Linked DNA regions of Tamandua tetradactyla. The protein of the gene in region 2 interacts with the protein of the main gene of each other region in a pairwise test. Links are inferred from orthologs where the notes say so. Each region holds a gene or a part of one and is shown on either strand. Other genes may lie near its edges.

What was found. The genes of interacting proteins can lie anywhere in the genome.
Region 1: the proteins of PCBD1 (region 2) and HNF1A interact in binary tests that used the Homo sapiens proteins (3 or more experiments, as listed by UniProt). The link is inferred for Tamandua tetradactyla from reciprocal best matches to the Homo sapiens genes PCBD1 and HNF1A.

What each region holds. Positions count from the first base shown.
Region 1 is NC_135331.1:21,255,709-21,263,269, forward strand, and holds the start of HNF1A (hepatocyte nuclear factor 1-alpha), read left to right. Parts: upstream 1-4,530; coding exon 4,531-4,859; intron 4,860-6,407; exon of another isoform or gene 6,408-6,762; intron 6,763-7,561. UniProt on the Homo sapiens protein: Transcriptional activator that regulates the tissue specific expression of multiple genes, especially in pancreatic islet cells and in liver. Binds to the inverted palindrome 5'-GTTAATNATTAAC-3'.
Region 2 is NC_135339.1:26,219,115-26,226,692, reverse strand, and holds the start of PCBD1 (pterin-4-alpha-carbinolamine dehydratase), read right to left. Parts: upstream 3,083-7,578; 5' UTR 2,959-3,082; coding exon 2,956-2,958; intron 256-2,955; coding exon 124-255; intron 1-123. UniProt on the Homo sapiens protein: Involved in tetrahydrobiopterin biosynthesis. Seems to both prevent the formation of 7-pterins and accelerate the formation of quinonoid-BH2. Coactivator for HNF1A-dependent transcription.

The DNA of each region.
Region 1 (7,561 bases), on a different chromosome or scaffold from region 2:
AAATACAGGTGGGTCCTGTCGCATGGTCTGGATTAAAATCAACAGCCGGGGTGGGTGCTGGGGGGGGGTGGGCAGTGCAGTCGAAAGGGCACCGCTCTTACTCTGGCTTTTAAGGCAAAGGAGAAGCCTTGTGTCCTGCCTGGACCTCAAAAAATTTTCAGACTTGCAGACAGCTACTCACCAAGTAGGAGAGGATCGTGAAAAAGTGCCCAGCTACCGTTTATTGAATATCTGCTATGTCCAGGGGACAACCATTAGACCTACGGTTCTCAAATTGTGCAGTGAAGTGGCTCAGGGCCACAGACCATTTTAGAGGATTTTTCATGGAAACACAGCGGCATCTGTTGGACGCTTTGCAAACTGCTAGCTCAAGGTGGAACACGATTTCGTGGTTCGCTGAAGATGCACTCCTTCCAACGATGTCATAGCGGTGTGAAGCTGGGCTTCTGGCAATTGCTGTGATTAAAAAGCAAGCATTGAGTGGTGCAATGGTGGCTCAGTGGCAGAGTTCTCGCCTGCCAAGCCAAAGATCCAGGTTCGATCCCCAGAGCATGCCCATGTCAAAAGAAAAAAAAAAAGCAAGTATCCTTTATGGACAAATGAGTAAAAAATAATATTAAGGAGAAAAAAAATGAATAAATAATGGGGGAGATAAAGGGTGAAAATTGGATAGATTAAAATACTGTGGGTTAATGAGAGGGAGGGGTAAGGGGTATGGGTTGTATGAGTTCTTTTTCTTCTTTCTATTTCTTTTTCTGGAGTGATGCAAGCATTCTAAAAATGATCATGGTGAAGAATACACAGCCATGTGATGATGTGGTGAGGCAATGATTGTATAATATGATTGGACTGCATGTGTATGGATATTTCTCAATAAAAAATATATTTTTAAAAAGAGCAAGTATCTTGCAAAAATCATTGTGGAACAGGAAATGAGGGTGTAGTGTCCAATCTGATTCCAAGGTTCGAAAATCTTCGCAGAGCCCCGAAGACAGATGTATCTTGTTGGTATGTTCTATTTTTGTTTGTTTGTTTTCCTGTTGGTAGGTTCTTAAGGTTATTTAAGAATGAATTAAAAATATTTTCTTTCAATGTATATGCCTTCTTTATTGTTTTCTCAAGTGACCACTAAATTGTTAGGGCATATATATTTATTGTTTTGACCTAACCGCTTACTAAACATGACTGTTGGTTTTTTAGTGGGGGGAAGAGGGCTAGAGATGTCGCGGAAATGTTGAGACACTAAGGGTGTCTTGAACCAAGAAAGTCTGGGATCCTTTCATTATACTCTTTATAGAAACTGTCTTAACAGCAACTCTACGAGATCCATATCTTTATTTTGTGGGAGAGGGAAGCCACCCAGCTGGGCAAGGTTGCTGGTGGGTATGCACAGTGAAATTTAAGCCAGGCCCTGCAAATTCTCAGGAAGGCAAACCGCCTCCCCCCACACTGAGTTAATTCCACTTTGCCCAGTGAGGGTGGGGAGGGCGGGCTTAGGTGACTGACAGGCCTTTTTATCCATCAGAGTGACTCTTCCCCCACCCCCCCACCCCCACCAGGGGAGGCCCCAGGAGGCTCTCCCCTCCCCCCACCCCGCCATCCCTTCTCCAACCAAGTTTACTTTCAGTCGCAGTCACCAGTCCAGCTGCCTGGCCTCCAGTACAACATGAGTTCAAAAGTTGTGCCAAACATCCAGCACCCCCCCTCCTCCCTTGCTCCTTCTCGGGTCCCTGTTCTAGGTGAAAAGTCACCGACTGCCAGCAGCAAGTTCCCTCCCTGCCGAGGGGAATAAGCCAGGACCGGGAAGCCAGGAAGGGACACTGATGGAGTGTGGCTTAGGATCCAGGACAGAATTCCTGGACTTGAGAATTCAAGCAGGAGGCTGCCCAGTCCCTGAGCAGCTTGCCACCAGTCGCACAGCTGGTGTCAACCTCTGTGGCCAGCCTGGGTTTAAAACCTGGCGGGGGGGGGGGGGCGGTTTCGGAGCAAGCCGTTTCCCTTCTCTGAGCGGGTTTCCTCCCCTGCAGCATGGGGATAATTACAGCTTCATAGAGTTGTTCTGAGAATCACATGCGTGGCTAAAGCTTAGCACAGAGCTAAGTAGACATCGTCAGTGCATAATGAACCTTACCCACTCAGTCATTCATTCAGTACATTTATTGAGCACCTACTATGCACTATTCCAGACGCTGGGGATACAGCAGTGAATTAGACAGACAAAAGCCCTGCTCTCACGGGGCTCACAGGCTGGCAGAGAGGGGTCCATAAATAATCAACATCATATGTGAGTCAATCAGACAGCGGGCCCGTCCAACAGAAATATAATGCAAGTCACATTTATGCCATTTTAAATGCTCCAGTAGCACCGTTAAAAAAGTTAAGAGAAACAGGTGAAAATACGTATTTTTTTTAATTTAAAAAGTTTTTAGGTTAAACCTTTTAAATGTTTTCTTATTTTTAAATTTAATTTTAAAAAACCTAACATAATATATCTCAAATGGCATCATCTTAAGGGCCGTAAGCCACAGTGCACGTCCTCATTAGCTACACCCAGTGTGAAGTATCTTGGACAATGATGAGAACTGTGCAAAAATGAAGAAGTAAAGCGAGTAAGGGGCTGGAGCGCAGGCTCTGTGGGGGTGGGGTGGGGTGGCGAACAGACAGAGAAGGTGGATTTGCTCTGACTTGGGGGCAGAGCTTCGGATTTTACCCATCGTTGGCCAGGCCCCTTTCCTCTGCTGGCCTGGCCCACATGGCAGGTGCCCAGGCTGATGGCTCCTTCTCTTCCTTCTTGGCCAAACCTGACCCTGACTCTGCAAACTCCCGCAAGATACTCAAGGGCTCTCTGGAAATGCCCCAGCTTGGGGAGGGGGGGTGGGGATGGCCCCTCAGCACCACCCAGCCTCCTCGGGGAAAGAGTGTGCCTCCCTCCCGGGAGACGTCGAATGCTGTGAAAGCTGTGGCTAAACAAGGGAAGGGGTGCGTGGCGGGGAGGCTCTCACCCAGGGCTGGGCTCAGGGAGAGCCGAGGGAGGCAGGCCGTGGAAGTGCAGGGCTGGACCCTGGCCTAATTTAATTTCTTGACATTTGTTCATCATGGACTTTTCTGCATTCAGGTAAAAAATATGTTTTATTGATGTATCTATCATTCATGCCCCGTAAAATTCATCCTTCGGAAGTGTATAGTTCAGTGGTTTTAGAGGATTGAAGGTTGCACAACCATCACCACAATCAATCTGAGAACATTCCCATCATCCTAAAAGAAAGCCCGTTAACAGCTGCTCCATCTAAGCCCCTTCTCCCCATCCTCCCCCCAAAGCTCCCTGGCAGTCACTATTCTACTTTCCATCTTTTTAGATTTGCCTCTTCTGGACATTTCATATAAAATGAAATCATAAACAGTGTGGCCTTCAGGGACTGGCTTCCTCCACTTAGCGTAATGTTTCTAGGTTCGTCCATACTGTAGCACGGACCGGTACTTTATTCGTTTTATAATTTCCCCATTCATCAGGTAATGGACATCTGAGTTGCTTCCTCCTATTAGGAATAATTCTGCTCTGAATTTTATATACAAGTTCTTGTGTGGACAAGTTCTTCATTCTCTTGGACTTTGCATTCCTTTTAAGTTTTTAAGACATTGCATCACAGTATTAATGTGGGGTACTGAATTTTTTGGTGCCCCCTTAAATTTTGTGCCTCTGTCTCCTTACAGAGTCCCGGCCCTGCAAGCCTCTTCCCTCGGAGGCTGTGTGACTTTGGGCAAATCGCTTCACGTCTCGGAGCCTCAGTTTCCTTCTCTCTAAAACGGGGGTAATCCCTACAGCTTCCCACAGTGTCAGGTAGAAACAATGAAGCAATCGGGCACCCCTCAGACCCAGCAGCCTTCCTCAAACACAGTAGACTGAAGTCAACACGTTTTCCCTATGGGGAGGTCTGGTTGTTGAGCCTGGGGGTGGTGGTGGGGGGAAGGGTGATCCCCCAAAATGAATGCGACTTACCCTGCCCTTGAGGGGAGCTGGCTCAGCTGCCCAGAACGCCTTTGCTGCTTTTTTCCCCCAAAAGGGGACGCGTGTTTATTATTATTATTTTTGCTCTCCTGCCTCAGTCTGACCCCCTGCAAGGTCCTAGGAGTGGGACCCAGCGCTGCTCACCCCAAGGCCTCCCTGGCTGCCAGTGCCCACGCATCCGGGGCGCCCTGGGGCCCTCCACCCTCTCCTCCCCCACCCCGCACTCCCGGGCTAGGCCGGGGCTCCCCGTCCGCCATGAGGCCTGCACTCCGCGCGCCGCAGGGCTGAAGTCCAAAGTTCAGGCCCTTCGCTAAGCACACGGATAAATATGAACCTTGGAGAATTTCCCCAGCTCCAATGTAAACAGAGCGGGCAGGGGCCCTGATTCACCGGCCGCCGGGGCCAGGGTTGGGGGTTGGGGGTGCCCACGGGGCTTGGCTCGCGGGCTTCTGGGGGTGCAGGGCGCCCGGTCTGCGCCCACCGGCCGGCGGGCGGGCGGCCGGCCCACACGTGACAGCGGAGCCATGGTGTCCACGCTGAGCCCGCTGCAGACCGAGCTCCTGGCCGCTCTGCTCGAGTCGGGCCTGAGCAAAGAGGCGCTGATCCAGGCGCTGGGGGAGCCGGGGCCCTACCTGCTGGCCGGAGGAGACGGCCCCCTGGACAAGGCGGAGGCCGGCAGCGGTGGCCGCGGGGAGCTGGCCGAGCTCCCCAATGGGCTGGGGGAGACGAGGGGCTCCGAGGACGAGACGGACGACGACGGGGAAGACTTCACGCCGCCCATCCTCAAGGAGCTGGAGAACCTCAGCCCCGAGGAGGCGGCCCACCAGAAGGCCGTGGTGGAGACCCTTCTGCAGTAAGGACCCCTCCCCTGCCCCCAGGTCCCAAGACGGAGCCCAGAGGGGCCCAGCCCCAGCTCTTGAGCAGCTGCTCTTCAGAGTTCCAGGTCCCTATGAGCTGCGGCCCTGAGCCTAGGTGTCAGGAAGGGGGACGGGGCCCACAGGGGCTCAGAGGGGTCCTTGCCTGGGGGAAGGAGACCCAGTCCCCGGGCAGCCCCTCTGCAGAGTCCTGTGCCTCCTTGAACCTGAGCCTTCAGCCCAGCACCTGGGAGGTGGAGACATGCTCCAGGGGAGCTCGGAAAAGGCGGAAATATCAGCAGAGCCCACAACCCCAATGCCTAGAGAGCCACAGGGTGGTAGAAATTTCTAGCCAGCATGGCCATTTCAATCCCCCAAACTCTAACTTCCCCGCCAAGGCCTCCAGGTATAGACTCAGGGCCCAAGAAGCGTGGCAGGGGAGAAGGGCTGAGGCTGGGGTTTGAGGGGCTTCCCTGGCCACCCTGGGACTCAAGACTTTCAGGCAGGGGAAGCCCAGGTCTGTCTTACCTGGGGAAGATGGAAACTTGGGTCAGGAGCTGCTCCCTTTCCTGCTCAGCCACAGGCCCCCCCACCCTGCCAGCAGGCGCCATTAGCAGCCTCCCGGTCCCGTACCCCTGTCCGCTGGCTGACTCCCCATCTCCTGGAGAACTGGGTGGGTCCTGTGCTCAATGCCTCCCCTCTCCTCAGCAGAGCTGACCTGGTTACTAATTACCCACGGGCTTTGTTATTTCTCTTTTGTTTTATAAATTTATAAATGGCAAAAGGCTCTGATAAGGCCTGTGATCATTAACTTGTAGGGACGGTGGCCTGCAGAAGCCTGAGCAAACCAAACCCCCACCTCCCAGAGGGGGTGGGGACGGGGGAGCGTGGGGTGGGGAGGCTCCATGACCTCCACCCTAACCCCCACCAGCATGCTGAGGGGTACGACCCCCCAGGTACTGTGCTGAGGCCTCCCATTCATAATCAACGTTGAGATCCCCCCCCCACCCAAGGAACTGTTATCCATTAGTATTAACCATCTAATAGTTGGTTATCTATTGATAATGCTGCGTCACAGATGGGTAAACTGAGGCTCAGCGAGTTGCTTGATTAAGGACGCCCAGGTGGGACTCCAAACCCCATACTCTCCGGTGCCCCGGATCTCTCTGACTAGGGGCCTGCGGTGCCTTGGGGGGGTCTGAGGGCCGGTCCCAAAGACTCTCTGCAAGGAAGCGTTTCTTTTCTGTCCAAGGTCCTGATCCTGGCTTGGGGTGGGGGAGGGCTGGTGGATCCTGGCCTTCCCGGTGACCTCACGTAAACCTCTGGGTCTGCCAGGACTCCCGAGGGCCCGGGAAGGGGACAGGAGAGCGGTCGGGGGGCCCCCGACTTGGCAGGAAGACGAGGGCAAAGGGCGCTCGCGCGGCAGGGAGGAGCACAGGCACAGGCCAGGCCAGGGCGAGGACAACCTGGGCAGGGTGGGGCTGGCCCAGACCCGCCGAGGGCCCCGGATGGGCGCGGGGGCAGGGGGTGCCAGGGGCCTTTCTTACCTGGCTAGGTGGGGCCTCTTGATCAGCAGCCCCTTTGGTGAGATGCCGGGGTGGGGGGGGAGGCTTGATCCACAGCTCTTGAGGAAGGAACAGAGGTCAAAGTGCTCCCTGGGGGCCAGTGGGGACCCGGGGCATTCCAGGAAGCCGAGGGAGACAGGGGAGGCGGGGAGGCCGAGAGAGGGCCCCGGGGAGACAGACAGAGAGGCCTGCAGAGGTAGCGCAGAGCCCAGGCCAAGGAGGGTGGAGGGACCCCAGGCCCGCTGGGGAGAGACTGCGGCACCCCAAGCTGAGAGGAGGCTAGAGTGCTTCCCCCGCCCACCCCGACTGGGTTTTCTTTAATGCTAACAGCAGGCTATTTACTTTCCATTTAAATTTGAGATGTTGCTATAAATTATCAACCAGCTCCTTGTTCCTGTGGAGTTTATAACTAACTACCTGGGTTACTTATTGTTCAGGTAACAAAAGGCAGCTGAAAACGCCCTGAGGGAAAAAAAGTGGGCCCTCTGGCCTCAGGGCAGGGGAAGAAGCCAGAGAGAAAGGTGGGGAACCTCGATGGACGCCGGGGTGTTGGGTGAGGTTGAAGCTGGACAAAGATGGTGCGGCGCAGGACTTTGAGTGGAAGCTGATTCTCTGGAGGGGACAAATGTCTGGGAGAAGGCAGGGGTGGGTGCCGGGTCCCAGAACTCCTTTGGGGTGCCCTGTGCCTAAGGTCACAGCAAGACCCTGAGTGCTTCCCTTAGTCTCCACTCTTAGTTCACTGCATGACCTTGAGCATGTCTCTTTCCCGCCTTCTGCCTCAGTTTCCCCACCTGGACAACAAATGAAATCCAAACTCCGTGCCTTGGTCCCCGCGCCAGCCTCCCTGGCCTCTTCCCTGACCTCTCTCTCCCTTAGTCATTTTGCTCCAGTCACATTGACATTGCTGTCCCTTGACATACCAAGCCGATGCCTGCCTCAGGGCCTTGGCACGTGCTGTCCCTCCTGCGTGGAGCCTACTTTCTGGATCTTACCATGGCAGATTCATTCTCCTTTCAGCTCAAATGTCCCCTCCTCAGAGAGGTGCCCCTTGACCATCCCATCCAAAGGTGGGCCCTACCCCTGTGACTCTCTCTCCTATTACCCTCATTTACTTTCCCCTGTCACAGATCACAGCC
Region 2 (7,578 bases):
AAGTAATTTAGGGAAGTTAATTTTCCCATTGGCATAGTCCCTAGATTAGTGTAGTATCTGAGCATCTAAGGTAAAGAACAAGTTCTGACTTTGTTAGAAAAATGTCCCACCCTGGCCCCATACCCTATTGAAGTCTTTGAAATTGAACTGCTTGAAGATGGCATCGCGGCCTTCCAGCTCATTCCATCCCACAGCCCTCAGGTTTGGCAGCAGTTGGTCTCTCTCCTCAGCACTTAGCCTGTGTGCTTTGCCGGCCTAAGAGGAAAAATATACAGGTCCAAGGGCATTTCCTTTTACAGATCCAAAAACAGTTGCTCAGAGCTTTGGGGGGAATCTGGCCAGCCTCCACTGGTGCTTGGATGCTGGATGACACTGTCAAAGGGCAGCAGACTAGCCCTGTTCAGGAGGTGGAGTCCTAGCTCATTCACTTATAGGTTCTTAAGTCTTGGGTTTTACACATCCCTCAGAGAAAGAAAATCCCTAAGGGTAATACAAATCACCACAAAGCCATTTGGCTGAGAAACACCCCTTCCCACCCCCCAGAAGTCTTTCAGAGGACCCCTTCCTCCTCCCAAACTAAGGTCTATTACATTAATGAGGAATAAAAGTGAAATCAGGTCCAGATTTAAATGTATTGCAACACAGCCTTTCAGGAAAACTACCCCCAACTCTCCAATCTTCTTTTTCCTGCCCTTACTCACCTTAAGGTATATTGAAAGGAAACTGAGGCCTAGAAAGGGCAAGTAGGGAAATAACTTGTCCATTGTCCCCCAACCCACTCAGTGACACTGTTCCCAAAATGTGGTCTGTGTACCACCTGTGACAAATACAGATTCTAGGTCCTGTCCCAGACCTACTGAATCAGCATCCCTGGGAGCCTGGTGAAGGAATCAGCACTAGGCTTTCCGTCCTCTGCTCTGGCAACTCCGGAAGGCCAAGGGCGATCTACAAACCCTACCCCTGTCCTATTTACCTATTATGCAAAGTGGACCCAAGGCAGCCCATACTGGCACAACCTCACAATGAGGTGAACCTTCTGAGAATACCAGGGAGCAAAGGTTAGCTCTGTCCTCTAGGACGATCTAGTCCAGGAGCCCAAGGGATCCTAGAATTTAGAGTCCTGCAACAGAACCACCCAAGACAGAAACAGATAAGATACAAAACAAAATGAAGCAACTAGGCCTGGTGAGAGAATGTGATCATGTTACTTTAACATCTGTGAGGCTGCTTGAAGCAGAAATCCTGGGTTGAACTGGCAGGACTGATCCCAGTTCTGCCAGTCCCAGCCATGTGCCTGTGTACCACATCACCTCTTGTCCCACATCACCTCTTTTGGCTTCATAGGTAAAAGGGACAATAATCTCTCCCAGTGGGCCAGCTGAGGGACCAGAGGGACAAGTTAGTAAATTACACTGTTATTAGGTGAGCAGTCATCTGCATTTTAAAAAAGACTTCCTGGGGCCAATGGGCTTGGGATGGGCCCTGTATGTCTGGGGTAGAACTGGAGGCACACTGTAATGCTCTGGTAAGTCCTCTCTCCTGAAAATAGGTGTTCTCTCGGATAGGTTCTTCTGTTCTGGTTTGGTGCCTCGTCTTTCCCTCCACTACACTCTGGATAAATACAGAGATGGCAGAGTTTACCGACATCATCTGTCCAAGCTCTTCTCTATTTCAGAACTTGCCCTTTTTCTGTGGCTGATGAGGCTGGTCTGTGTATCCAAGCAACCAGACCCCTGAAGTCAGCTGAGCCATTAGAATCCATTGTTTACTCCTTTGGCTCTGAAAGTGGTGGGTGGGTACTGGTGAGCTCCTGGGGAACCCCCTTCTTCTTTAGAGTCTTCTGGAATCCCCCAAGTCCCACATTCTGGAGCTAAAATGACCTACCCCGCTGGGATCTCAGGATTAGTGAGGGGGGAGGGTCATGTGCGTTTGGCAGATCACAGTTCAGGCCTCTTGCCTCTGGGGCAGTGTGCAGAGGGGGGTATTGATTACCCACTGTCTGCCTTGGTGCACCTCACAATCAGCACTGCTCAGCCCCAGTGGCCATAGCTTCAAGATGCCACCCCAGTTGCCACGGCAGTTCTGACTGCTTCCAATGCCTTTGGATCAGAAATGGGCTGTTTTTAGGAAAGCTTCCAGGGCCTAGACCCTCCCTGCTGTCCCCACGGGCGCACCCTCACCTCCCTAGCTGGGTTGGGGAGGGTGAGTGCAGCACAGGTGAGCAAGGCTGCCTGGAGTAGGGATGTGATCACGCCCCCACTGCTGGGCAGACTTCAAATTAGGCTCCAGGGGCTGGCTCCAAGACCCAGGGACAGTAGAGGGGTGCATGGAGGGCAGCCTTCCAGTCAGACACTGCAGTGGGCGTGAGGGCAGAAGTGCAAGACAGGAGAGGAGGGGACACGCACGCAAATGAACAGACAAATTCACAGTTTCTGCCCTCCACGTTCAGAACTACAGAACAGAACCCGTGCCTCTCAGGGGTACGGTATCTGCTGGCTCACTGGGACGCCCCTCCCCACCCCGTCCCGTCCCCAGGTCCCACGGCCCCATCCACCCAGGCAGGTCCTACACACCACCCCAGCACTGTGATGCGGAGGGAGCAGTTTCCCGGGTGTGGCGCCTCGCTGCACCGCCCCTCTCTGGGCCTCAGTTTCCCCCGCGCACTTCCGTAAGGTGGGAGCCGGGCGTGAACTCAAGGCTCCCATTCTTAGGCCAGGAGACGCCAACTCGGAGCCCGGCGCGCGGCAGGTCCGTAGGGGGTTTCCGGGGGCCCCTCCTACTTGAGCCTTGAAGGCTGGAGGGTCGAGAACGGACAGAGGGCGGCCTGGGCCGGAACCTGCGCTGGGCTCCTAGCTCCCGCCCGCGCCCCGCTGGGGCAGCCCACCCTCGAGCGATTCCCGCACCCCGCAGCCCCGATCGCGGCCCCCGCCTGGTCCCCCCCACCCCGCCGCTCACCATGTCCAAGCGCGGGGCGGACGCAAGCGAGCAGTAGATCGGGTGCACCGGAAAGCGCCGCAGGCCTCGCAGTGGGCAAGGCGCCGGGCGGAGCCGCGGAAGGGCCGCCCCCAGGGCAGGGAGGAGCTTGGAGCCGGGAGCGGTCACCTAGCCCGGGAAAGGTCCGCGGGTCTGAGCGGAGCCGGCGCGCCAGGGAGGAGCCTCGAGCCGGGAGGAGCCCTGAGCCGGGAGGAGCCCCGAGCCGCGGACTAGGCGGCTCTTCAGCCTCGGCCTTGCTGGCCCGGGTAATGATTAACAGTTGCGACGGACGCTCAAGAGTCAAGAGGGATCCCTCCGCCACTGTGGTCCTTTCCAGCACTTTCCTCTCACAGCTGTACTTGGTGCCTTTGTTACAGGGAGCCGTGGGGTTCAGTATGCGGGCTCCGAATGCAGAGTTCTGGGTTTGAATGGTGCATTGTGATTTACCAGCTGTGTGATCCTGAGCGCAAGATTCCCAAGCTTTTTCTTTCTTTCTTCTTTTTTTCTCCAAGCTTTTTCTTTTAAGAAAACACTTTATTGGGGCATTATGTTTTTTATTTTTTTAAATTTATTTATTAATTAAAAAAATTAACAAATGAAATAAAAATTAACATAGAAAATCAGTAATTCACAATATCATCACTTAGTTGCATATTCATCATTTCTTAGAACATTTGCATCAATTCAGAAAAAGAAATAAAAAGACAACAGAAAAAGAAATAAAGCGAAAACAGAAAAAAAAAGATTATACCTACCATACCCCTTACCCCTCGCTTTCACTGATCACTAGCATTTCAAACTAAATTTATTTTAACATTTGTTCCCCCTATTATTTATTTTTATTCCATATATTCTACTCTTCTGTTGACAAGGTAGATAAAAGGAGCATCAGACAAGGTTTTCACAATCACACAGTCACATTGTGAAAGGTATATTATTATTCAATCATCTTCAAGAAACATGGCTACTGGGGGCATTATTTTTTAATGCAACTTTATTGAGATATATTTGCACACCATACAACCCATCCAAAATATACAATCAGTGGTTCACAGAATCATCACATAGTTCTACGTTTGTCACCACAGTTGGTTTTAGAACATTTCATTACATTTTTTTTCATTACAAAAAGCAAAACCAGAAACACCCATGCCACCTCTTCCCCCCATTATTCCCCCCCTTGTAATTCCTTAGGATTGGTGTGCTACAATTTTATTGTTGATGAAAGAACATTAAAATATTACTATCAATAGTCCATAGTTTTCAATAGGCACATTTTCCCCACATACCATTCTATTAACTCCTTGTAACAGTGACATACATTTATTTGTTCTAGTTCATGAGAGAACTTAATACTTGCACTGTTGCTCACAATCATTGTCCACCATGAGATTCATTGCATTATACAGTCCCATATCTTTACCTCTAGCTTTCCTTCTAGTGACGTACACAAATGTAAACTTCTCTTTCCAACCATCATCACACACATGATTCAGTGCTGTTAATTACACTCACATTTATCCATTTCCAAATATTTAAATTGAACCTAGTTAAAAATTCTGCACACGATAAACATGCGCTTCCTGTTCTCTACCCTCATTCTGTCTCCTGGTAACCTATAGTCTAGATTTTATGACTGAGTTTACATATTATTATTAGCTCATATTAGTGAGATCATACAATATTTTTCCTTTTGTGTCTGACTTATTTCACTCAACATAATGTTCTCAAGGACCATCCAGGTTGTGGGCTTCAGGACTTCATTCCTTCTTACTGCTGAGTAATATTCCATTGTACATATATACACATTTTATCTGTTCGTCGGTTGATGGACACTTGGGTTCTTTCCATCTTTTGGCTATTGTGAATAATGCTGCGATGAACCTCAGTGTGCAAATGTCTGTTTATGTCTCTGCTTTCAGTTCTTCCAGGTATATATCTACCAGCAGGATTTCTAGTTGTAGGCAGGTCTGTACTTATCTCACTGAAGAACCGCCAAACCATCTTTTTACATTTCCGCCAGCAGTGAATTCAGTGTTCCTATTTTTCCACATCCTCTCCGACACTTGTACTTTCCTGTTTGTTTTATGCTTGTTTAATAGTTCACATTCTAGTAAGTGTGAAATGATATTCCATTATGGTTTTGACTTGCGTTTCTCTAGTAGCTAGTGAAGCTGAGCATTTTTTATGTGCTTTTTAGCCATTTGTATTTCCTCTTCGGAGCAATGTCTATTCATATCTTTTGCCCATTTTTTATAAGGTTTTTTGTCTTTTTTATTGTTAAGTTGTAGTATTTCTTTATATATCCTGGATATCGAATCTTATCAGAAATGTGGTTTCCAAATATTTTTTCCCATTGAGTTGGCTGCCTTTTCACACTTATGACAAAGTCCTTTGAAGCACAGGCATATTCAGTTTTGAGGAGGTCCCATTTACTTATTGTTTCCTTCGTTGCTTGTGCTTTGGGCATGAAGTCTAAGAAACCACCCCCTATGCCTAGATCTTGAAGATGTTTCCCTACATTTTTTTCTATAAGGTTTATGGTAGTGGGGTCCTCTTTCGTTCTGTTGGATATAGATATTTATGGGGGTATTTTTGACATGCAATAACCTGCACATATTTTAAGTGTGCAATTTGATGTTTGCTATTATATATGCTTCCATGAAACCAGGTCAAGATTCTGACTGTATCCATCAGCCTTGAGAGTTTCCTTGTGTCCTTGTGTGATTCCTCCCTCCCCGCAGCCCACCCCCAGTCAACCGCTGATCTTTCCACCATTACCACCTGCATTTTCTAGAATTTTGAGTACACAGAATTATACAATATGCACTCTTCTGTGTCTGGTTTTCACTCAACATAATTATTTTGAAACTCAGCCTGTTGGAGCATAGTTGCTTCCTTTTTATTGATACAATTCATTGTATTTATTTTATAGTGTCCCACTATTTATCGTTTATTGTTATGCCACAGTTTGTTCATTCACCTGTTGTTGGACATCTGGGTTGCTTCCAGTCTGGGGCTTGTGCTGGTTTGAAACTATTTTGTTGCCCAGAAAAGCACATGTTCTTCTAATCTTGTGGGGACAGACCTGTTATTTGGGTAGGAACTTTTGATTAGGTTGTTTCCATGGAGATGTGGCCCACCCATTCAAAGTGGGTCTTAATCCTTCCCTGGAGCTCTTTATGAGGGAGAACTCAGAGCTGCAGGGAGCAGAGAGATGAAACCAAGACACAGATGCTTGGAGATGCTGGGAGCTATTTGAAAGCCAGGCTAATAAGTATAAAATGGTAGTTCACTGTTGTTTTACTCGCATTTTTTTCTGATTACTCATGATATTGACCATCTCTTTGTATGCTTGTTAGCATTTGGGATTTACAATTGGTAAACTGCTTTTTAATATCCTTTCCATCTTTTTCTGGTTGACTTGTGGAAGTTTGTATCTAGATAATAATTGCTTGTCGATTAGATCTTGCAAATATCTCCTCCCATTCTTCGCATCTGTACACTACCTTCTTCCACAATTACTTTTGTTTGGTGGCATCTTTTAATTTAAAGTAATAAGATTCACCTGTTTTTCCCCCATGCCTTATGAATTTTTGCTTTTGAAACTTTAGTTGATATGCCTTCTTCACTCTGTCACAAAAATATTCTTTTTCTTCTGTTACCTTTATAGTTAGATATATTTAAGACCTAAATGAGAAGAGTCTCCTTTTGGGTATGTTGTTAGGCAGTGTGTTAGCAGCCTCCAAAGCTGGCTCCCCCGGGACACTGACCCCCAATTGATGTCCTTGTATAGTTCTCTCCACAATGAATCAGGGCGGGACCTGTATTGACTTGAATGTGGCAGAAGTGTCACGTGTGACTTCTGAGGTTGGTCAGAAGGAGTCCACAGCTTCTGCTTTGGTCTCCTGGAACTCTCACTTTGGGGTGAGAAGCCCAGCGACAGGGAGAGGCCACCATCTGCTGTGCTCTGGTCCACAGGCTCTAGGAGCTTCAGCTGACAGCCAGAACCACTGCAGTCCCAGCACCTCTGTCTACCTGCAGTCACACCTGAGACCTCAGGAGAGAACCACCAGCAGAGAGAGCCAGCCCCCAGAAGTGTGAGAAACAACAATATGCATTTTCCTCAAGCTATCAAGTTTTACAGAAATGAGTACCTGAAAGTGGTGTTGCCATAAGACAGACCTACAATGGGCAGTGGGTGGAAGGTGGTAGGAAGGCTTAAAAGATGGTGTGGAGGTGTTCCACTTCCACTTAGGAGGTAGAAAGCTAGACAGAGTGTTGCTCCCACTGTAACGGTGAGAACAGCCGGAAACAGTACAGATCATGTCTCTGGGCCATCAGGCAGCTGACCTCACATAGGGCAGTCAGGGCAATACTGCTGCCCGGGGTGTGCGCGGGGCTCAGACGGCCTCAGCAGCAGGGCTAGGGAGAGAACAGCTAAAACTTGAAGGCTCTGCGGCTGCAGATCTGGAATAGCGGCACCCAGATCTCAGGAGCGTCTGTGCGCACCAACAGGCTTTTGTCCGTGGGCCTCGGGTGGGTGCTCGTGAGAATGGCTGGGGGAAGGGGAAGAGATGCGACACAGGCCCCGGGCGGTGCCGG